Caenorhabditis elegans: one gene and its partner. The protein of the gene in region 1 interacts with the protein of each later gene in a pairwise test. Each region holds a gene or a part of one and is shown in the gene's direction. Other genes may lie near its edges. The genes, in order: arrd-19 and unc-101.

Region 1 (10,776 bases):
CTTGAACCATCATTGTTTACGTGTGAATACTTTCCAGATATTGGATCGTACCGAAACTCTACGTATTTGTCTTGTGAGTCGTTTTCCAACTGGATAGGCTCGTCCTGTGTTGCTAAAACCTCATGACTTGGTGCTAAAAATATCAAAATAGTTAACAAGGAAAGAATTATAATGTAAATTATTATTAAAATTTTGAAAAAGCAAACAAAAACTCACCTGCAAGATGGGAAGAAGGAGTAGTTCCCGACAAGGCAACGAGAATTGTTGCTGAAACTACAAGAGCTCCAATGAATGCGGTAGTTATTTTTGCGATGCTCTTTCCAGGGTGACTTGGTGGCGATCTTGAAATTAGTTGGGAAGTTGCAAGAAAAAAGTTCTGGGCTTTTATTATGATTCGGCTCTCGAAAATTGAAAATGAACGGTGACAACCATAGTATCCCGACACTACCCCAAAATAGCTTCAAAGAACTTACCCTAATGGTCCACCCAAAGACAGAGCAGAGTATTGTGCATTCGTAGGATTTTGAGAAGACATTGCCGCCACGAAAAGTGTTTAGAACGAATTTAATTCTTCTTATAAGAACTTCTCATCGCTCCAAGGTCAAGATCGAAACGACTAGTTCTCCGACAACAGGAAGTGGTGATATTTGATAGACATCTTGTGACAGGTTACAAAGAATTGAATCAACGCACACATTTTTAATAGATCAAAAAGTAGCACCGGATATGCTGGGTCTCAGCACGATATCAAAGGTCCTCGAAAAAACTCTCTGACTTTCCCAAATAAACCAAAAAACATGTGTTTCACACTCAGAAGAATGGATATAAGTCACTAGAAAAATGTTCCCCAAATATTTGAACACTTTTGCACCTATTTGGCGGCCACATGAACAGTTTTGGTCGTAGAATGCGATCTTAGGTGTCTTTTCAACTCTACTAGAATTTGTTCGTGTCCTTCAAAAATATCGTTCCGTGTTTCGGGAAACGGCAATTTAACGCACTTTTTTCTGAATGTTGGAATCACAGATCATGTTTTTATTTGAGTCGAAACGCAATATTCCAGCATAAATTATTTTTTTGGCAGAAACCAAAAAAAAACCCCACCGACCTTACTTCACTTTCCACGCCAAGTTGCTAATAAAGTTCAGTTGAGAAAATAGTTTTCAATGCTTTTTAATGTTATAAAAAATTATTTTTGTCACTGAACAAATTAGCACTGTATATTAATTGATCAAAACTATTTCAGCCATCTTTTTCTCCAACTTTTCTAGTTTAGAAAAACCTAGCCGTTTCTATTTCTCTGGTTGAATGGAAACCATGTTCTTTGACTTTCCGTCCGCTGTTCCCTTTTTTCTCTGCGGCTCTCAACTGGTCAGAGAGACACGGAGTGTGAATGTCCTTCACGATGTACGCCTGTGTCTGTTTGGTTTCTCTTGGCACGGAGCCAGCAGATATGTACGCAAACACTACAATTTACGACAAAATCTAATGCGCTTTTTTTTGCAAAATCTATGTCGATCTTTTTATAAAAACGAATAAGTTATTGTAAGTTTTATTTCAAGGCAATACTTTACGAAAAATTCTGTTCAATATCTCAGTATTCTCCGTTTCCATTGCGCTCATATCCGATTTTATTCCAGTTTTCTCATTCAATTTTTGTCTTAAATTTTCGTTTCAGAGTTCCCATGCCAGATACAGAGCTTCACGTGATATTCAATCAACCTGACGAAGTTTTCCACCCGGGAAAACCGATTTCCGGGCGAGTGGTGCTCTCAACGACAAAGGAAAAATACAAGGCACGCGCAGTGAACATCAAGATTTTGGGATTGGCTCACACTAGCTGGACGGACACCGAGAGAGTTCGCAAAGTGTGAGAAATTTTTAAATTTTTATAAATTTATCATTACTGCTGATAAGGCTGAAAAAAAAAGATAAAAGCTTTCAAAATTGTAAAATGATGATTTTTCAGTAACGCCGAAGGCAAAGAAACCTACGAGACAAAAATAGTCAACTACTCTGCAAATGTGAACTACCTGGACTATAGCTTGCTTCTGTGGGCTTCATCAGATGGATCGGTAAGAGCTTTGATACATTTTTGAAAAATTCGATTTTAACTTGTTGAACATATTTTTACATTTTTGAAACATTAAGTTACCCTAGTCAAAAATAGAGTTGTTCTATAGGAAAAATAGTTGTACCATATAAAAAATTTCAGAACGAACTGGCAGCTGGAGAATACGCGTGGCCATTTTCTTATACTCTTCCTATCAATGTTCCACCGAGCTTCGAGGGAAAATATGGATATTTGAGATATTCAGTGACAGCTGAAATTGATCGGCCATGGCGTGTGGATAAGGATAAGAAGCGATGCATCACTGGTATGATCACTGGAATAAGTAAGGATGTCTCAATATTTTCATGTCTTTTCAGTTTCACCATTGATCGATCTCAATGTCATTCCTCACGCTCTCACTCAAATCAACGACCAAGCAAGTGAGAATCTCGGTTGCTGTTGCTTCACAAAGGGATATCTCGAGCTTCGTGTAAACATCCCAAAAACGGGATTCGTTCCCGGTGAAACTGTCCCCATGAATATCCATATACTCAATCACTCCTCCGTACCCGTTACCAAAGTCAAGGCAAAAATCATTCAGCAGTGCAAGTTCATTGCATACCGAAACGGTACAACAGTCACTTATGACGGAGGTTACGAGACCAGTACGTCCGGAATGCTGCAGGAAACACAACACGACACTAGGACCGTTGTCAAGCAGGGTCTGGAAATGAAAGTGGCTCCCAGGAATGAGCACAAGTTTGCGATGGAGCTCCGTCTTCCGTCTGTGACTCCAACCATCAATCAGTTCTCCCCTGTGATTACTGTAGAGTACATTGTGCAATTCCACGTGGAGACTAGCACGACTTGTGGGGGTAACGTCGATTGTGAAATGTCAATTTTAATTGGAACAGTCCCTATCAGCAAATATCTTCCACCAGCCTACTACCCACAGGATCCAAATCTTCCGCCGAGCCAACCAACGCCAATTGGAGGAGGAGTTGCTCCGGCTGGAGTTGCTCCAGCTGGAGTCGTCCCACCACCAGGATATGGATTCTTACCAATGACTGATGGTACAGACAATGGAGCCGGAGATACACCATATCCAGTTGGTCCGCCTTATCCATCTGATGTGCCTGCTCCATATCCAAGCGGGGATGAGCCAAAAGATGGTACTGTAGTAGTCCCATCTGGTGAGTTACTCAGAATCATTGTATGTATTACTATTCAATTTTATATGTCTTCAGCTCCACCACTATCCTACGAAGAATCAATGTATGGAACAGAAGGAACCGAGCTCAATACTGATGAAAATGCACAACCATTTGCTCCAAAATATCCCGTATTCAACGATTTGCCTGTGTATAACCCAACGGCGCCACCTCCAGAGTAGCATATTTTAATATGAGTCTGTTTGCTTTGTCTTCGTCACATAATGTTCAAAATATTGATTTTTAAAGGATTTTTCTATATACTTTGTATTATTTATCCCTCGGTAGTAAGTTTTTCTTGTTTTTTTATGCATAAATTATTAAACTATGCACACATTACGAACGATTGAATAAAATCATAAAAAAATTTTGTGATTTTAATAAAAGTATATGTTTGATATACAGTGTTGTAGTGGGAAACTCTTATATGTATAACAATTTTCCCAACAAAAAGGAAGTATCGTTGAAAGTGCATCCAGTTAAGTAAGTCTAAAGATGGAAAATGGACATCACGTTTTATTAGAGTGGATAAATAAATGGAAGTTTAATTAACTTTCAATATGAGGGAAAATAATACAAACGTACCTATATTGAATTTCCTTATGAAAACTTTAGAGCATTTCTCAACAATTTTCCATGGCGGGTTCAATTCCCAATGATGATGATGACCCACATTCAATGTCAATAGAAACCATACCTGCAATTTAATTGCTCAACGAATTTGCTGTTCTCGAAATAGCCTTCAACAAAATGATCCACTCTCCTGCAGGTCTCCTGCATAAGTTTCTTATTTTCATTCTCTTTTTCTTTATTTTCTGACGTCCCTTTAAGTATTCTCTCTTTCTCAGCGCGCTCCTTTTACCAATTTATCATACACCAAGGGCTCGTGCACCCTCCTCGGCCGCACCAAAAAGGAAGAAGCTCGGCAAGAGAAGATGCCAAAATGTGTCCACACTCTGTAGGTCCACTCTGCGGCTCAACACATAAAAATTGATGCTTTTTGAAGATTATCTGATTGTGAGAAAATGAGCACTGCAAATTTCAAGTATTGTCTTTTATAAAATTCTTCAAAAATGTTTCTGTTATCTTTTCGACTCTCTCAGAAACCTATCGCTGTATCCGTTTCTTTTTCACTAGTTGAATGGAAAACATTGTTCTTTGACCAGTTCTCTTTCCCCGCTGTTCCCTCTTTTTCTCTGCGGCTCTCTATGGGTCAGTGAGGCGCGGAGTGCATGTGTCTGCTGGGTTCGTTTCAATCGCCTTTTCTCCCTCCGTTGCTCGCAAAAAATGTTTTTGCCTAGTCGTCTAATGCTTACCCTTTTTTGAAATTCAACTGTTTTGTTATTATTTTTTAATCATCAAATCATTATCATTTATGTACATTTTTCATTTCAAATCATATTTTTTACAAACATTTTCTGAACCTCCGAAAAAAGTGGAATATTTTTAAACCCTATGCTCAAATTTCTGTGTTATCTCCTCAGACTCTTATCTTATTTTTTTCCCCGAATTTCCTCATGACTTGTTCTTTATTTCAGGGTTATCATGCCAAAAACGGAGCTACTTAAAGTTATATTCGATCAACCTGACGAAGTGTTCTTCCCGGGACAGCCGATTTCCGGGCGAGTGGTGCTCACAACGAAAGAAAACTATAAGGCTCGGGCGGTGAATATCAAGATCTTGGGATTGGCTCACACCAGCTGGAAGAACTACGAAAATGCTTGCAAATTGTAAGGAATTCGAAAACTCTGAGAAGTTACATATATAATTTAATTTAGTAATCTTTATCGGCTGAATTAAAATTTTTAAACTTGTACTGTTTTCTCATCCAATTTTATTTAATATTCAGTAATGGCAGCTCAATCTCGATCCGCCCACGATCAATTCATTACTCCGCAAATGTGAACTACCTCGACTACACCCAGCTTCTTTGGACTTGCGAAGATGGAAAGGTAGGTATTTTTAAAAACAAAATAATAATTCTTAGTTTTATACACATAACTGTTTATTAAAAAACAAAAGTTTATCTACTTGGGTGGGAAGTTTGAGCTCCCAGCGAGACCCAGAATATATTTGAGTTCAAAATAAGAAACATATAATTTCAGAACGAATTGGCAGCTGGAGAATACGTGTGGCCATTCTCCTATACTCTTCCCACCAGTATTCCACCAAGCTTCGAAGGAAAATATGGATATGTGAGATATACTGTGAAGGTTGAAGTGGATCGGCCATGGCGTAAAGACAAAGCCAAGAAGATGTGCATTACTGGTAAGGGTTATGCATAAATTTTGGTGGAATAGAGAAATATACTTTTAAAAAACCGAAGTAGACTTCTTTCACAGAAAGTAGATTTGGTATCAGGCCCAAATTAAATCAGATTAAGCCTTTTTTAGCCACTAGTATCTTGAAAATTCCAAAAGTATTTTTCAGTTTCTCCATTGCTTGATCTCAATGTCATTCCGCACTCGCTCACTCAAATCAACCACCAAGCCAGTGAAAATATCAGTTTCTGTTGCTTTCAAGGGGGAATTCTCGAGATGAGTTTGAACATCCCAAAAACTGGATTTGTTCCCGGCGAAACTGTTCCCCTGAATGTCCATCTTATAAATCACTCCTCGACCAGTGTTAACAACATCAAAGCGCAAATGCTGCAGCAGTGCAAGTTCACTGGATACAAAAGTGGTGCAACTTACAATTATGGTGGTGATTTTGAAAGAAATGAAAAAATGTCCGATAAAATCCAAAGAATAAAGTTTGACACGAAGAAGGTCGTCAAGGTATGTCAGAAACTGGAAGTGCCTGCCAAAAATGAGCACAAGTTCGTGCTGGAACTCCGTATTCCGTCTGTAACTCCAACCATCAATCAGTTCTCTCCTGTGATTACGGTAGAGTACATTTTACAAGTCAATGTAGACGGTCTAGTTCGTTGCGAGTCGTCAATCTTACTTGGATCCGTTCCTATTCACCAGTACCTCCCACCTGCCTACTATCAACAGGATCCAAATCTCCCGCCGAGCAAGCCAACTCCGATTGGAGCTCCACCGCCCGGTTACGGACCTCTACCGACCGACGATTCCGAGAAAGGCGCCGATGCACCGTATCCACTTGACCTCTATCCTAATGTCAATGATGAGAAAGTTCCAAACCCAAACGAAGATCCGACCAAGGATGGCACTGCAGTGCTTCCAAGTGGTAAGTTGATCAGATTTGTAGCATTTATAGAATGATCACACGACAAATTTTCAGCACCACCGTCCTACCAAGAATCAATGTATGGTAAAGCAGGCACCGTGCTCGACGCCAAAGAGAATGGACCATATGTTCCGAAATATCCCGTATTCAACAATTTGCCAGTCTATAACCCAACTGCTCCGCCTCCAGAGTAACAAATTCTAATCTGAGTCAGCCTGCTTTTCGCCTTGAATTGTTCAAAAACACTTTGTTCGCTTTTTTGCCTGTATTTACTGTTTGTCCCCCGTTAAGTTTTGTTCTCAAATTCCCAATGCATAAGTTAATAAATTACTTGTTTTCGTTACCGCTTGCCTACTCGTTCCGAATTTCAATTTTAATTTGAGCTTGAAATTCCGAGACGCGAGCTCAAGCTTTCAACAGGTCCCAACAGATTCAGACTGTTTCAAGCCGCCGCGTTCGCTTTGCGGCGACCTCCGCCTGCCTCACGCCTTGGTGCGGCTCCTAACCCGAAAAGTGTCGGCCGCATAAAAAAAACCACCCTTTGGCACTATGTGGTGTGAATACCAAGACTTTGACTTCTCGTCATAGTGCAGAAATGAGCCCAGAGGCCGGCGTGAGGCGGGCTGGTTGGAGGAAGATTTCAGGCTTTTTTGAGATTCTTGCTGAACTCTTCAAAGCTCGCAAGTAGCCTGGAGTTATTTGGAGAATTATAAGCCTTTTTGGATGAAATTGATGAAATGTCAGTTTTTTATAGAAACTAAAGGGTTAGAATGTTCACGAATTTCTCTCATTTCGATTAGTATGCGTTACTATTGCAATACTTGTTCGAGCGCTTCTTCTCTTCAAAATATTCAAAATAAAATATGATTCTACTGCACTTCCAACAAGCTTTATAATATAAACGTATGGGCCAATATTCTGCAAAAAAATTAAGAAAATATATTACTGAAATGAGGAAAGCCACAAGACCTTGAAGCTCGAAAATGGAAATTTAGGAAGAACATAATTGGATACTGTTGGCACAAAATCACATAGAAATACGTTGGCAGCGTCGACCAAGGCAATATGATTTATCTGAGATTCTAATAGTGTTACATCTCTACATAACAAGAACATTTACCTTTGAATGCTCACTGTTAGCATGATGACCCAGTGATTTATCAAAAATTAGCAGTCTTGTTGAGAGTAAACCGGAAAATGCAATGTTAAAAGCGAATATCACCTGAAACATGGAAAAATCATTCGAATGATTCTTCTTTTATGCCTTCTGCTTTGTCGAAATTGATTTTGGTCTCTCAATCTCAAAATATTACCGCTCTATCAGTTGTCCAAAAGTCGAAATAACAAGGATCAACTGAACATCGCAAAACTCCACAGTCTGTTGGCATTGCGGATATATTCATAGTACAAAAAAGGTACATAAGAAGATTTTCAAACATTGACAGGCTAATAGCCAACATCAGAATAATTATAGAAGGATATGAATCGCGATACTTATGAAACATAATTGGGGTGTAAATGGCCTGAAACTTGATCTCAGATGTCCCTTTTTAAACTTTTTTTATTTGAAAAAGATTTTTTAAATATAAAAATTGGATTCTCACCAAGACCCTTTCCAGAGAAATCGCCACAGCCACAATTGATCTCATAGCTCCTGCAGTTTGGAGTGGAAACCCTATATAAAGAATAAAAACTTGCTGCTCTCGGAGCTCCACAGTAAAATATGAATACAAAATGCAGAACGTCATATAGGCACAACCCAGAGCACTGTACGCCACGTCGAGAAAGAGGCGGTAGAAAAAGAGAATCATATTCTTACGAGTTCTAAATTTTTTTTATTTTCTGAATATTAATATGGCTGAGCTCAACTAACTTTACAGTCATTTTTATAAAATAGACGTTCATAACTGTTGTGTAAACAGAAGAAATCACCCCAATTGATGTTACGAGCACAGCGGGCACACTCATCAGAGGGCCTTCTTCAAGAGATGTCATTTTGTTAACTAAAATATAATTTATTTTCGTTCTAATTTATATCTTACTATTAGACTATAAGTTGGATCAAAAGTTGAACAAAAAATCATGCGCCTTTCGGAAGGCTCAAAAAGAGACCAAATGTTTTGTTTGAAAAGATCTGTGAAAAAAAAATTGGTCTGTAATTACACCTTCTTTATCAAAACTTATTTCTAATAGTAAGCTTTTTCAGTTGTCTGAGTTATAATTATTATGCTGTTACCTTTTTAACAAGTTGTGGTGGATGTAGGGAATTCACAGATACCACGTGCCTCTGATGGAGAAAAACTGAGAGAATTTAAAAAAGGGTTAAGATATATGGAGGTATTTTATTAAACACAAAAAATAAACATTAAGACCGCTTTTGTGCCATTTATACCCATAAACATGTTACGTTTGGACTCAAATAAGTTTGATCAGTCGTCGGGTACCTCTATATTTTTCATAATCACGCAGAAACTAGAAGCCGAAAACAAAGAAAAGAAAAGAGCGAAAATCAGAATGTTTTTTTTTCAATCCAATTTCCGAGTAACTCAGCGCCGGGATTATTTAATATGGGTATTTGTCAGAATTCTCGAATACCTATGAAAAATTATAGAATTCTGCGAGCACAAGTAAATACGTTCGCAGATTGAAATGGCGATTTCTGAAAAATATAATTAGCACCAACTTTTAAAATGGGACTTTAAGAATTTAAGAATATTAAAATACTCAACTTAATCTGAAATTTCATTCAGAAGCTTAAAGTTATTTCTTTCTGAAATTACAGTAATCCTACAGTCTCCTAAACTATTCCAACGGTGACATTACCGCAAATCGCCATGTTCATATCTCCCATTTCACAATTTACAAGATAGGAGACGCTAAAGATCACAATTATGTTTTTGTAGCATTCGATCAGACATCTCGCAAATGAATTACTTTTTGAACTCTTTTTTTTTTTTTTTTTTTTTTTTTTTTGTTTTTGTCTGTTTGACCTTGGGATACAACTGAATTCTTTTAGAGAGAACTTTATTCATTTTTTCTATTTTCGAGAAAACTATATTCGCATTCGAGAAGTCTATCTCTTGTGAAAAAATAAAAGAAAATGTCTCCACAAGACCCTGTGTATTCACAAAACGATCCACTGTTGGTAGGCAATTCAAATAGGTATGTCTTCATTTTTTGTTTGCATCGAGCCCTTGGATTACTTGCAAAGGCCTGGGCTAACAAATTTTTGGTTTTCAGGTAACTTAATAAGATAATTTTTATATAATTTTAAGATCACAATCAAGTGATCCTTGGAAGACCATTGCTAAGATAGCTACAGTAGTCATTGGAATCCTGTTCGTAACATCGCCAATTGTTTTCGGAGTTTCCGGAGTTGCTGAGAAAAATAAAGAAAGCAAACACGGTAAGAACGGGGAATTTCTGTGAAAGAGTAAAGTGATTTATGTGTTCAGGTTCTCTTGCGAATCAAACATCTGCGAATAATGCAACGGAAGAAAATACCCCTAGTGAGAATTTACAAAGCTATAACTATTCTGATGTAGTCATTTTCAGAGAATTATTCGACATCATTCACAGAAACGAAAAAGTCTATTATATTGAATCAAAAAACGGATGGAACAGTCACAGAATACGCAACATTTGAGTACAACGTTACAAGCGACGAGTACTCACGGCTCAACAATGATGGGACAAAAATTCAACCATGGCTCGTGAAGAATATGGAACGAAAGGTCAAGTTTTATTACTTCAAAGGTTTCCCCGTTAGAAAGACTGAATTTATACACAAGATAAAACCAAATGAGGACGGATTGGTACGTTTTCCATTCCGTTAATTCATTGGAAAGTTTGCTCCAGATTTATTGGAAATTCGAATTGGTGGACTCTTCTGAAATGTATGTAGATGAAGTAGCGATGACCATGTATAAAATGTATAAAATTATCGACAATAAAGGAAAAGCAGAAATGTGTACCGATGATTCTCTAAAGGTTAAAAAATCATCCTAGCTCTTTTAGTTGTTAATTACAGAACTGCTCGGATATTCCGAAAGATGACGAATTGATGATTCTTAATCCAAAATTCAAAACGTTTTTCATTGGTGTAAGTTTGCAATAGATTTTTGAAAATGAGCTACACCTTACATAATAGATGATTGCAGATGAAGATGTCCAAAAGAGAAGATTTTACTGACACATATTGGTTTGACACAAGCGAGATGGGCAGTTTTTCTGTAAAAGTCAGTTCACGTAAGTTAAGAAATGCTTCTCGTTATAGATGTAGTTTTCGGATTTTGTTTTTTTTTAATGTGGACTACGCTA
Region 2 (13,809 bases), on another chromosome or scaffold:
GAGACCCTCGAGACTAAGACCAGTGAGTTGAATTGTTTTCTTGATGACTTAGATCCTTAGAATTCGGAAGCTTTGATTTCCAGGAAGCTTAGGCTTAGATTCAAGTGTCCCTAATCTTTGCTTCTAATATCCATTGGGCTAGATCCGTCTGAGATCCATAAAGGCTCTATATCCCGAGCTTTCAGCCTACCTCGACGCCAAGGAGCACTTGATGAACACTCCAATGCTCTCACCAGTCTACTTCATTCTCGGAGGATCCAAGAAGGACGAGGGATGCATCATCGCTAGAAGTCTCGACAAGACCGCACTTCTCACCGAGATGGCCACATCCCCACACGGATGGTACCTGTTGGAGACCAACTACGATCAGGGAACCGAGGTGAGAGATGCTAGAGTTGAAGGTGTAGAGTAGGTTCTGGTAGACGGATCTAGGGGCCCAACTTTTAGGAGAGGTCCTTCTCTAGGCCTAGGTCTAGTATTTTGAACCCAGCTTCTTTTTTTGAGTGGGTCGAACTCCTAGCTAGAAATTTTGATCAAAAATCTGTCAAAACCTATCCGGAATTAACTTATCCAACATTTCCCTCTTCCAGGACCTCTACCTTGACGACCGTGACACTCCGGGATTCCGTTGCATGGACAAGTTGACCCAGAAGAACGTCGGATTCGAGGGAATCTTCAACGTCTTGTCATCCCGCACCAACCTGAATAAGCTCACCACCTACACCGTCCTCATGTCCGTCGAGACTTCTCGCTTCGAGACCATCCTTCAATCCTGCCCGGGAGAATGCTATCCATGGTAGATTGGATTCAACATTCTCATATACGCAATGATTCATTGAAATAAACTTTCATTTTTGTAAATAAACTTTGATGGGTTCTTGTTTGAAAACGAAATTTTCATAAAATTTAAAAATTTTAGAGTTTTTTGGTTTTTTTTAAACAAAAATTAAAAATTTTAATTTTCCCGCTGGAAAAAAATAATGAGTTACGGTAGATTTAAAGGCGCATGCACCGAAACTTATCGAGGTTACCAAAGTTATTGCTTTTTGTGGAATTTTACATTTAAAAAATAATTGTTTGCTAATTTTATGGTTTTTCGTCGTTTTTTCGTTTCTAACCAAGTTTTCCTCCTGAAATTCAAATTTCGTCACAATTTTATTAAAAATGGGATACGGTAGATTTAAAGGCGCATGCCTAAATATTTCTTCTGAGTCTCGTAGCGATTGGTGGTTTTGTGGAATTTTCTACTAGAAAAATGAATTTAAACTGATTTTCCAGTATTTTTACACAAATTTTTTTTATTTCAATTCAATTTTCAAATTATTCAATTCAATTTTCTGGCGGAAATTGCCAGTTTTTGTCATTATTGTCCAATAAAATAAGGTACGGTAGTTTTAAAGGCGCACACCTAAATTTTGCTCCCTTGGTTTCAGTTTTGAATTTTTAAAATAGAATTTTAACCGATTTTCGTCGATTTTCACTTAATTTTTTGCACTTTTCCGACGAAAAAGTCGATTTTTTGCAAAATTCGGTATTTTTCTCCATTTTTTCGCGAAAAAACCGCTATAAACCAAATTCTCCACCTTTTCCATCCAATTAATCCGTCTCCAAGGCCTCCTGCACCGCTGCTGCCGCTCCGTCACTCGCCGAGAGAGTATATAAAGTGAAGAGACTGCAGACTGCAAGAGGGCGTGCCCGCCAGCAGCCGATATCCATCTTTGCACTCATTTTCTTCGATTTTCCTCCGTTTTCCGCTAATTTTCTCCGGATTTTCAGTATTTTCCAGTAGCTGCCACGTGGAATTTGACGATTTTAACGAGAAAATCGCAAAAAATCGTCGAAAATGGCGACTTCCGCCATGTTTATACTGGATTTGAAGGGAAAAGTGAGTTTTTTAGTGTTTTTCACGTCGGAAAATGCCAATTTTCGCATTTTTCAGACGATAATTTCTCGAAATTATCGCGGAGACATCGACATGACGGCAATCGATAAATTCATTCATTTACTCATGGAAAAAGAGGAAGAAGGCTCGGCAGCGCCCGTTTTGACCTATCAGGACACGAATTTCGTGTTTATCAAGCACACAAATATTTATTGTGGGTTTTTTGTGTGAAAAATTGAATTTAAAATCAAAAATTAGATAGAAAAATGGCAAAATTGAAGAAAATCCGTTGAAAATGACGCAATTGGTCAGAAATTTGAATTTTCAAGCCAAAAACCGATAAAAAGTGCAATTTTTTGTGGTTTTTAACATTTTCAAATTGAAAATAACGTTTTAAAACTAAAAAATGAGTTGAAAAACAGTGAAAAGTAACAAAATCCCTTGAAAATAACGGAAAACCCAAAAAAATTCAATTTTTTGATTTTAAAGTCAGAAAAATTCAAAAATTCCTTGATTTTCTGAATTCCCGAGTGCTAAAATTCAAAAAAAGCCGAATATTCGTAAAAATTGACTAAAATCAATAAAACTGCGATTTTCGTAATTTTTCCATTTTGTAGTTTATTTGAAATGTGGTAAAAATCTTAAAAAAGGAGCAAAATTGTTTCAAAAATCAAGCTTTTCTGCCAGAAAGTCGATAAATTGCGAAAAATTCGTCATTTTTCACACTTTTTCGACATATTTTCACGATTTTTGAGCCAGAATTGTAAATTTCCGGAAATTTTCCCGCCGACAGCGGGTGCAAGCGCGCTCCAATGATAAAACACCCATTTTTAACGGATTTTCAGTCATTTTCTCCAGAATTTCCAGTCAAAAATTCAAATTTCCCTCATTTCAGTGGTCTCAGCATGCCGTTCAAACGTCAACGTCACAATGATTTTGTCATTTTTGTACAAATGCGTCGAAGTTTTCTCCGAATATTTCAAAGATGTCGAAGAGGAGTCGGTTCGCGACAATTTTGTCGTTATCTATGAACTTTTGGACGAAATGATGGATTTCGGGTTCCCACAGACGACTGAGAGTCGAATTCTACAAGAGTAAGGAGGAAAAACGAGAAAAATTGAAAAAAATTACTCAAAAATTCGAATTTCCCGCACGAAAAATCGTTTCATTTTCTGCTGCAAATGCGCTCCAATGCGAAAATAGCCAAATATTAGCGTTGGAGCGCATTTGCAGCGCGCGATAGCAGTAATTTTAAATTTTGGGTCAAAATATGTATTTTCGACCCTAAAATTTTGAATTTCCAATCACAAATGCGCTCTAATGCAAAAATCGCAAAAAATTTACATTGGAGCGCATTTGCAGTGGCGGGGAATTCAAAAATTCAAATTTTCCTGTTCAAAATGTGTCTTTTGTCTCGAAAATTTGAATTTCTATTTGCAAACGCGCTCCACTGCGATTATTTGCACTGTAGCGCGGTTGCAGCTGGGAAATTTGAATTTTCATTGAAAATTTCAATTTTCTCGCATTCAACATGCAGCAAACGCGCTTCAATGCAAAAATCGCAAAAGTTCACATTGGAGCGCAATTTTCCTGTTCAAAATGTGTTTTTCGACTCGAAAATTTGAATTTTTGTGCAAAATTATCATCGATTTTTCCTCAATTTTCAATCAAAAAACCCCCCAATTTTTTGCAGATACATCACACAAGAAGGTCAAAAACTAATTTCGGCACCCCGTCCCCCGATGGCAGTGACAAATGCCGTCTCATGGCGCTCTGAAGGCATAAAATACCGAAAAAACGAGGTTTTCCTGGACGTAATCGAAAGTGTGAACATGTTGGCCAGCGCCAACGGTACCGTACTTCAATCGGAAATTGTTGGAAGCGTTAAAATGCGTGTCTATCTTACCGGAATGCCTGAACTTCGGCTGGGTCTTAACGATAAAGTACTTTTTGAGGGCAGTGGACGTGAGTTTTTTCGAATTTTATGCGAAAATTGAGATTTTTCAGGCAATTTTACCCTAAAATCGATAAAATTTTGTTAAAATTCAACAATTTTAAAGTTTTTAGCGTTTTTCAATTGCGCTCCAATGCGACTTTTTTTAAATTTTTGCAATGGAGCGCGTTTGCAACTTGAAATTCAAACTTCCTACCGCTACAATCGCGCCCCATTGATAATTCTCGATTTTCAGGCGGAAAAAGCAAATCTGTGGAACTGGAAGACGTGAAATTTCATCAATGTGTACGCCTGTCGCGTTTTGACACGGATCGAACGATCTCCTTCATACCGCCCGACGGAGCATTTGAGCTTATGAGCTATCGGTACGAAAAAAGTGGAGAAAATCGGATTTTTAACCGAAAAATCGAGTTTTTCGCATGATTTTGACGGAAATTCAGTGATGTGGCCTAGTTTTTTCGAAAAGTTAGGCCACCGACTTCTAATCTGTGGCCGAAGTTTGATTTTGTCTATTTTTTGGCTTAAATACTCGATTTGAAAGCTGAAAATGCCAGAAAATCCTAGGAAATGCCAATTTACCCACGTGGCCTAGGTTTTTTGGAAGTTAGGCCACCATAGCCTAGTTCGTGGCCGAGTTGTAATTTCGAGTTAATTTCTGCTTTTTTATGCCAAAAACGCTCGAAAAACAATTATAAGGTGTAGAAAATACAAATTTGCTTACGTGGCCTAGGGTTTTCCGGAAAAAACTAGGCCACCAAAGGCCGATTCCTGTTTTTGGGTTCTTTTAGGTCAAAAAACTCGTTATTCAGACGAAGAAGAGCTCAGTAACATGAAAAATTCTAGAAAAATACAAATTTGCATACGTGGCCTAGATTTTACAAGAAAGTTAGGCCACCACTGGCCAATTCATGGCCGAACTCTATTTTTTGGCTAAAAACTCGGCTTCTTTACTACAATAGCTCGATTTTTCTGTAAAAACACGTTAAAACTGTAACAAATGGAACACGTAACATGCAAATTTCCACTCGTGGCCTAGTTTCTCGCAAAAGTTAGGCCACCACTGATCAGTTCGTTGCCGAACTCTATTTTTTGCTGAAAACTGTGTGTCTGGATCAAAATTGTTGGTTTTTCTTAAAAAATAAGTCAAATACACCTGCGGCCTAGGTTTTCGGGTAGAAAATTAGGCCACACCTTAATTTTGAGTCTAAAAAGTTGATCACTAGGCCAAATTTAGCTTGAAAACACTGAAAAATAAAAAAAAAGCAAATTTACATGCGTGGCCTAGGTTTTCAGGTAAAAAGTCAGGCCATGCCTCAATTTTGTGTCGAAAAACTCGATTTTTACCTCAAAAAGCTCCAATTTTTCCTGAAAATTCTCGAAAAATACCGTTTTTTTTCAGATTAACAACCGTGGTGAAGCCGCTGATCTGGATCGAGACAAGCATCGAACGTCACAGTCACAGCCGTGTCTCGTTTATAATCAAAGCGAAATCACAATTCAAACGGCGCTCCACTGCTAATAACGTGGAAATCATTATTCCAGTCCCGTCGGACGCTGATTCACCGAAATTCAAGACAAGCATCGGTTCGGTGAAGTATACGCCCGAGCAATCGGCCTTCGTATGGACTATTAAGAATTTTCCCGGCGGAAAAGAGTACCTTTTGACCGCCCATCTATCTCTACCGTCTGTGATGAGTGAAGAGTCTGAAGGACGGCCGCCGATTAAAGTCAAATTTGAAATTCCGTATTTTACGACCAGCGGCATTCAGGTAGCCGAATTTTTCGCTTAAAATTCGACTTTTTAGCTCAAAAATTCAAATTTCCCACCGCCAAAAACTGCCCAATTTTGAGATTTATGTAATTTTTTCGCTCTAAAATGCTGAAAATTTCATTTAAACACATGATATTATTTAAAAATCCGACTTTTCAACTAGATTATTTGAATTTCCCGCCGACCGCATGTTGCAAGCGCGCTCCACGGATAAAACTGCTCAAAATGCAGATTTTTGTGATTTTTTTGCGTCAAGATGATGCAAATTTCTCGAAAAAACCTAACATTTGACTTTTTAACTCAAAAATTCAAATTTCCCGCCTACCACATATTGCAAGTGCGCTCCACGGAGAAAACGGCTCAAAATTGAGAATTATGTGATTTTTTGGTGTTTAAGGGTGATAAAATCTTCTAAAAAAAAGGCTTGAAAATTCAATTTTTCCCATAAATTCCACCAAGTAAACCCTAATTTTCAAATTTTCAGGTCCGTTATCTGAAAATCATCGAGAAAAGTGGATATCAAGCATTGCCGTGGGTCCGCTACATTACTCAAAATGGAGAATACGAGATGCGGATGAAATAATTCCTGAAAAAATTACCTAAATTCATATTTTATTGTATTTTATTCCCAATTTTACTCTTAATTTTTGGAATTTTTTATGAAAAATTGGTGAAAAACGACCGTGGCCGAGTTTTTGGAAAATTTGGAGGTCTAGGCCACCATGCTTCCAGTGGTGGCCTAACTTTTCGAAAATCCTAGGCCACGGCCCCGTTTTCCATCAATTTTTGCCTCTTTTAATGTCAAACATCTCCAATTTTTTCTGTGAAAATTTAATGCTCCGCGAGCTGCTCCCCGGCTCAAAACATGTGTTGTGTGTGCTCTTTCCCCTGATGACCCCGAACTCTATTTTTTTTTGTTCGAAAATTTTTATTTTATTTTTCCCACCGATTTATTTATTGATTTTTATCGCATAATTTAGATTTTTTCCAGAAAAACGAGTTTTTTCCCTTTCCCACCAGCATAATTTTCTCACCACATGGATCCTCATCAATTTTTCCCGTTTTCCTTTTTTCAGTAAATCAATAAATTTTCTGTCATAATTGTTTACAAAATGTTTTCCGGGGGCTAAAAATTCCATTTCAAAAATTGTCTAAATTTCCAGAAAAATCACTGAAAAAAATGCAAAAAATTGCCAGAAAATGCGCCGATTGTTGCCGATTTTTCGTCGAAATTTGCGAATTTCTGCATTTTCGCGTCAATGCACCACATCTGACGACACTTTGCGGACTTTTGCGCCAAATGCGTTGATGGATCGAATTGTGGACGATTTGAAGGTTCGGCAAAGCGGGAATTTGAAAATTTTGAAGATTTAGCATTGGGGCACACTTGCATCACGCTTTTATGGCGCGAAATTTGAATTTTTGCCCTAATTTTGGACTTTTTTTTGCATTGGAGCGCATTTGCATTAGCGGGAAATTCAAATTTCCAACTCTAATTCAATTTTTTCCAGAAAACTGGCACACATTTTGTGATTCCCGGTCGAGATTCCTTTGCCAGACAGGAATCGGCAAAAGTTTTCGAAAAACTTTTGGAAAATGGTAGGTTTTGCTAATTTTTTTTAGTGAAAAATTTGAAAAAACGAAAAATCGAGGGTTTTGAGCATTTTGACTCTGAAAAAACAAAAAAAACTAGATTTTGAAGCATTTTATCCGTGGAGCGCACTTGCAACATGTGGTCGGCGGGAAATTCAAATTTTTGAAATAAAACACGGAATTTAGGCGAATTTTATGTTTTTACAGACGATTTTCAAGCATTTTGAGTCTGAAAATTCGCAAAAATCCTGATTTTGGGCTGTTTTATCCATGGAGCGCACTTGCGCAATGTGGTTGGCGGGGATTTCAAATTCTTGAGTTAAACTATATTTTTGAGCGTTTTAACGTAGTTTTCTTTAATTTAAAGCCATCTTTCACCATAATAAATCAAATTTTCAGTGATTTTTCAGACATTTATCGATTTTTCCTCAAAAATCCCACAATTTTCAGGTGTAAAATGCGAATTTCTGCTGGATGCGAACACAAAAAACGCCACACTGTTCCGTACAATTGTCTCACAGCCTGGCGCCTCACTGGAGGTACGTTTGGATGGGGTACTGTAGAAAAACCAATTTATTTTTGGGAAAAAATTTTTAGAGAGAGGGGAGAAATTTCGCGGAAATTTTTGATAAGAACGGATAATTGAGATAAGATGAGAAATTTTTGTTTTTTGCAGATTTTGGAGACGATTGTCAATGTTGGATATGTCACTTTTGAGGATGCGATTCGACTTTTGGCACTGTAAGTCTTTTTTTTGGAAAAAATTCGGATATTTTGAGGAAAAAAAATGTATTTTTCAAAATTATTTACCTAAATTTCCATATGGCTTTTTAAGAATGTGAAATTCAAATTCAGCTCGCCGAGATCTTTTGAATGACCCCCATCATGCCTAGGGAGGGTCTCGCCGCGAAAGTTTTGGGTCTCGCAACGAAAACTTGAGTTTAAAGGGAAATAGGGCATGATTATACTTAAATGAAAGGTCTCGACGCGAAAAGCTCTAAAAATTAGGTTTCAAAATTTCTAGGCCAACAGGTAGAAAGTTAGGTCACGATTTTTTCAATTTTGGCCTTGCAACAAAAATTGGAGCTTAAAAAGCTGGCGCATAGGGCAACGTGGCAAATTCAAAAAATTAGGCTTTGGAATTTCTAGGCCACTGGGTGAAAAGTTAGGCCATCAAAAGCCCCCGGCTTTGGGGTGTCATGTAAAAATACCTTGAGATCCCAAATTTTTTTCGCTAAAGTTTCCCAAATTGGAGAAAAAGTTGGTCTCGTCAATATTTTTGATGATACGACGGACGACACGAAACGGGTAATTAATCATACTCTCAACTCGCCCTTCTCACACCTTTCCTACAGTCATTTTTTCACACTTTTATCTTTTGATTCGCTATGAAACTTTCACTTTTACACGCCCTGAACGCTGGAGATGCGACGACAACGAGGACGATAATCATCAAAAATCCATTCATTTTTCTCACACATTTTCGCTCGCGCGATTTTATTTGATTTTATGATTTTCACGTAATTTTTCTATCTCGCTTCATAATTTATTTATCAGTTACATTTTTGTGGATCTTGTGTCACAAAAGTTGGGCCTCCGAGAGAAAAGTCTGAAAAAAGTTATTCCGAAATAAACACTTGGTGCCAGAAGTTCCCATTTTGGTTTGATCTACCTAGATCTACAAAAAATGCGGGAGTAGAGACGCAGAGTTCTCGGCTGACTTAGCATGGTTAAGAACGTGCTGACGTCACATTTTTTTGGGGGAAATATTCCCACATTTTTTGTAGATCAAACCGTAATGGGACAGCCTGACACCACGAGCTCGGCCAACGGCAATCGGTTTTCAACGTATTTAACTGAAAATTCGCCATGAAATTAAGTGTTCTAAAAACTTCTATATCTCAAAAACTAGAGCTGCTATCGAAAAGTTGTCAACTAGCAATTTGTTCCGCGAATTATAAGGAACAACTTGTTAGTTGAAAATTTACAGCTAACTTCTAATCCTGATGAGTTATCACTAGTTTAAGACCGTCAACGTATCGGCACTCGCCTATCATGAAGTTTTCATGTAGCGATAACTTTTCAATGACTAATGTTAGTTAAAAATTGTCAACTGGAAAGTTATTCCTTATATTCTGAAGATTCGTTTTCCAGGTGACAACTTTTTGGTAGCACTTCTAGTTTTGGAGATACGGGAGTTTTTCGGTTTCGTCTAGAAAAACTTTTATATCTCAAAAACTAGAGCTGCTATCGAAAAGTTTTCAACTAACAATTTGGTCCTTAGAATATAAGGAACAATTTGTTAGTGGACGATTTTTACCTAACTTCTAATGCTGATGAGTTATGACTAGTTAAAGACCGCCAACTTTTGGCACTCGCAGGGTTCAAGCAGCGATAACTTATCAGCAGTTGGTGCTAGCTGGAATTTGTCAGCTAAACATTTTTACCTTATGTACTGAGGTTCATTTTTCAAGTTGGCAAATTTTTGATGGCTCTCATGGTTCCGAAGTTACGGCGATTTTTTTTTTTGAAATTCGTTTCGAAAGTTCAACTTCCGTGTAAACAGCCAAATCGAATTAAACTGTTAGCCAATCTTTCGTGCTTCCAGCTTCCCGGACGATCTTCTCCGTCACGGATCCCCCAGCATCACCAAAAACATTGAAGCTCTCTCCGCCTGTGGTATCTCGACTCCCCGCACAATTGGCTCGGCAATCAAGAAATGCCCACCGTTGCTCTTCGCCCGGGACCCCCAGGAAATGCAACGACTGGCTCACGAGATTGGTGGATTTTTCTCCAGAAAGCAGGTGAGTGCACAACTTTTAATCTAAAGATTATAGTTAATGGCTTCTTAATCTTCCGCTTATAGCCCTAATCCCCACTTTCTCCCCGAAAAATCTCAAAAATCATTAGCTTTTGCATATTTTCATTGCAAAATTCGAATTCCTGCGCTATTTTTACCCCTATAAGCGTTTTTCTCCAGCTTCAACTCGTTGTTTTGAATTTCTGTGCATTTTTGCGTGAGCCTCGCGGTGTTTGCGTACTTTTGGCGCTACCGTAACCCGACATTTTGAAAATCAACACCAGGAGCTTAGCGAATATTTATTTAGAGGTAGAATTGGCTGAAAAATCCGAATTTCTCAGTTAAAATTTGCGAAAATCAATAATTTTCCAAATTTTCAAAAAAAAAAAAAAATTTTTTTACAGGCCGGTCATCTCATCTCCCGTTGCCCGCAGATTTTGCTAAAGCCAATTGAAGAAATTGAGGAGAAGTATGAGTACATGTTTTATCAGGTAAGACTCCGCCCACTTTTTGAGTCTCGGCGAGAAAATTTTGGGTCTCACCACGAAAAGTGCATTTTAAAGACACAGTAGGGCATGATTATACTTAAATGAAAGGTCTCAACGCGATGATTTCAAAATTTTAGGTCTTGAAATTTCTAGGCCACCAGCTGAAAAGTTAGGCCACGTAAACCATTTTGGCTTAAAATCGTCGGTTTCCAACCATTTTTCGCTATTTTCAGATGGGCGTTGAAGCTGATGACGTGGCAGAATGCATCGGTTGGATCGATATTCTCACGTTTGACGAAATCGTTGATCGCCACAAATTCCTGCTGGCGACCGGAAAATTCGCGACCCCCGACGCGAAACGGCCCCAAATTCGCATCGAAAATCCGAAATTACAGAGCATTTTGGATAGTAAGGAGGAGGATTTTGCTGTTAAAGTGAGGAGATGAGAATTTGGAAAATTTGCTGAAAATTTGAGAATTTTTTGTGAAAAATTGGGGAAAATCAACGAGAAATAGGGTTTTTTGGGAGAAAAATCGATAATATATCGATTTTTTCCACAAATTTATTTTAGTTTTTTATCGATTTTTGTGTTAATTTTACTTAAAAATTCCGAGCGGAAAATAAAAAATTCCCCGAAAATGCCAATTTTTTCAGAAATTCAACATTTTCAGGTCGCCCGGGTCACAATGGAGGAATGGATCGTTTTTAAGGCATTGCGTGTCAAGGAAACTATTAATGAGAAAAAAGTAACATTTTTTAGTGTGAAAATAGGAAAAAAAATCAATAATTTTAAATTTTTCTTAAATCTGAAAAAAAAAAATTTTTTGGAAATTTTTTTTTCAAAATTTTCAAATTCCCTTTATAATTTGCGAAAAATTCACAATTTCATATTAGGCTCCCCGAGCTCTTCAAAATGACACCAAAAACGCCTATTTTAGGTCTCGCCGCGAAAGTTTTGGGTCTCGCCACGAAATGTGTCCTTTAAAGGAACAGTAGGACATGATTATACTTGAATTGAAGGTCTCGCCGCGATAAATTTGAAAAATTATGTTGCGAATTTTATAGGCCACCATGTAAAAAATTAGGCCAAGGAAAAAAATTTTTTTTAGGAAAGTTCAGAAATTTTAAATTTTTTGCAATTTCCAGGAACGAAAATTCGAACGAATCAAGCCGTCAAAACGAAAAGCCTACGAAAGACGGCACAAGGAGCGTCAGGAGCTCGCCGAGCACGTTTTTGACGTCTCCCATGGAAATTAGCACCCGGTTTTCACGGATTTCCCTTCGTTTTTTGTTAATTTTTATTGATTTTTCGATAGATTCCGGTAGTTTTTATACCTAGCAAAATTGATTTTTCAAGTTTTTCGGAGATTTTTGACTCTAGACGGTTGATTTTTCGAAAAATTCCCGAAAAATCGATAATTCATTTTTTTCCTTGTTATTTATTGATTTTTCCATTGATTTTTAAGTTTTCTTGTTGAAAAATTTTTTAATTTTTACAAAATTTTATCGATTTTCTCAATTTCCGACAGGTTTCCCACCCTGAATATTTTTTGAGAATTTTTCTTTATTTTTTTTCAGTATTTTCAGCTTTTTGAGGTATCAAAAGCCCAGGGAGATACTCGAAAAATGCACCGATAGCCGACGGACAACTTTCGAGAAATTATTGATTTTTAGGGTGAGTTATTGATTTTTTCGATTTTTAAGAATATTTTTTCGCGGAAATTCAAAATTTGTATCATTTTCGTACTCAGCTCGCCGAGACCTTTCGAATAACACCCATCAGGCCTAGGCTCCACCCCCTTTGGGTCTCGTCACGAAATTCCGGGTCTCGCCACGAAAATTTCAGTTCAAAGACGCATAGGACATTATTATACTCAAATGAAAGGTCTCGGCGCGAGGAATTCAAAAAAATTGAGTTTGAAATATTCTAGGCCATCATGTAAAATTATAGGCCACGAATTTGTAAATTTAATTTTAAAAAATATTTTACAGAAATGTTCACCAACCCTGCGGACGATCCGAGAAGCGGCGTACATTCGCAAAACTTTCACGATTTTTCGATTCCCTGGTTCGAAGAGCTGATGATGCACCAGCAACAGGTAAACTGATGGCCTAACTATACACTCGGCTGCCTAGGATTCCAAGAATCATGCCCTAAGCACCTTTAAATTTGAAGCATATCGTGACGGGACCCGAAATTCGGTTCACTGTGAAGGTGTTATCATTAGAGCGCGCTTGCAACCACCGGGATTTCTCACCCGAGGGTCCCTTCAACAACAAAAAAATCTCCAGCTTTCCTCCACCAAAAAAAGAAGGAAACGAAGAAAAATAAGAAACATTGTGTGCGAAAAAAAACGACGGAACGACGAGTTCCCTTTTTCCCCGTTTTTTTTCTCATGTTCCATTCGGTTTTGCAAAAAAGGCAAAAAAAAGCGGAAAATTCTAACCTTCTTTGTGCTCTTTTTGTGCTCTTTTTTCGGTGCTAGGACCGCCCGTGCAAGTGAGTTTTGCACTACAAAATGATTGTGACATGTCGATGCACCATGACTGAGCTCGCCGAGAGCTCTATACTTTGGAAAGATCCGTAGATTCTACTGAGCCGAGTTTTGGGAAATTCGGATGTTCGAAGATCGTTCCAGCTTTCTGAGTGAGCTGGGAACTTCTGGCAGTCTGAAACCCCTACGGAGCTCGTGGAGCTGCAGAATCAAGAAATTTGACAACGAATTTCAATAGAACTTGTGAGGCTGATCACTGAGCCTTCTGCTCGGCCCTCGGGCTTTCAGTAGTCTTTTAAGGATCAGGAGCACCCGGAGTCACTCAGAAGCTCGTGAGCAGTTTCTGAGATGTTCAAAGATCTCCAAGAGCCGCAGAACCACAATATTCGAAAAATTTAATTTTCGTAGCGCCTGGATTGTCAGGGACTGCTGAGCTGAGATGCTTTTGAACTTCTAGAAGTCTTCTGAGACTTGTGCTCCAACCAGGAGCCTACTGTCCTGTAAGAATCCACGGAGCACCTGGAATTTGGATGGATACCGCTCTTGAGCTCACTCGGAGGGTTAAGGACTCCTAGACACCTTGACAAGTTTCTAAGATGCTCCACGAGCTCCATGAGTTGCAGAATCCTTAGCGCCTATTACGAAGAATTGTATGCTTCCAAAAGCCTAAAAAGCTTAGATCCTTGATGCCTCGGCGCAGATTTCGTCACCGGTCGATTGCCATGTCCCGCCGCTTTTTTTTTGTTCATGAAACATTTGAATGTCATCGTCAGGACGCCGTCCCCCCCTTCTATCCATGTTTTGCTCTCATTTCGTGCTTTCACAC

The links.
Region 2: the proteins of arrd-19 (region 1) and unc-101 interact in a two-hybrid assay, tested with the Caenorhabditis elegans proteins (3 studies listed by BioGRID).

The regions. Positions count from the first base shown.
Region 1 is NC_003283.11:3,306,144-3,316,919, reverse strand, and holds arrd-19 (Arrestin C-terminal-like domain-containing protein), read left to right. Parts: upstream 1-1,678; 5' UTR 1,679-1,685; coding exon 1,686-1,870; intron 1,871-1,969; coding exon 1,970-2,075; intron 2,076-2,215; coding exon 2,216-2,378; intron 2,379-2,430; coding exon 2,431-3,246; intron 3,247-3,300; coding exon 3,301-3,446; 3' UTR 3,447-3,676; downstream 3,677-10,776. Other genes in the region: F35F10.1 (PAW domain-containing protein), read right to left, coding at 1-133, 217-341, 474-535; arrd-18 (Arrestin C-terminal-like domain-containing protein), read left to right, coding at 4,810-4,994, 5,114-5,216, 5,370-5,532, 5,695-6,456, 6,511-6,650; srbc-3 (Serpentine Receptor, class BC (Class B-like)), read right to left, coding at 7,231-7,374, 7,426-7,530, 7,577-7,678, 7,770-7,979, 8,061-8,280, 8,330-8,451.
Region 2 is NC_003279.8:12,506,712-12,520,520, forward strand, and holds unc-101 (AP-1 complex subunit mu-1-I), read left to right. Parts: upstream 1-1,587; 5' UTR 1,588-1,843; coding exon 1,844-1,885; intron 1,886-1,939; coding exon 1,940-2,096; intron 2,097-2,777; coding exon 2,778-2,976; intron 2,977-3,575; coding exon 3,576-3,847; intron 3,848-4,071; coding exon 4,072-4,201; intron 4,202-5,235; coding exon 5,236-5,605; intron 5,606-6,091; coding exon 6,092-6,190; 3' UTR 6,191-6,709; downstream 6,710-13,809. Other genes in the region: asah-1 (Acid ceramidase subunit beta), read left to right, coding at 1-22, 186-379, 591-800; mter-4 (Mitochondrial transcription termination factor family protein), read left to right, coding at 6,808-6,942, 7,119-7,206, 7,651-7,739, 7,877-7,941, 9,809-10,004, 10,405-10,491, 10,722-10,922, 11,160-11,234 and 1 more; K11D2.4 (C2H2-type domain-containing protein), read left to right, coding at 12,483-12,587. UniProt on the Caenorhabditis elegans protein: Component of the adaptor complexes which link clathrin to receptors in coated vesicles. Clathrin-associated protein complexes are believed to interact with the cytoplasmic tails of membrane proteins, leading to their selection and concentration.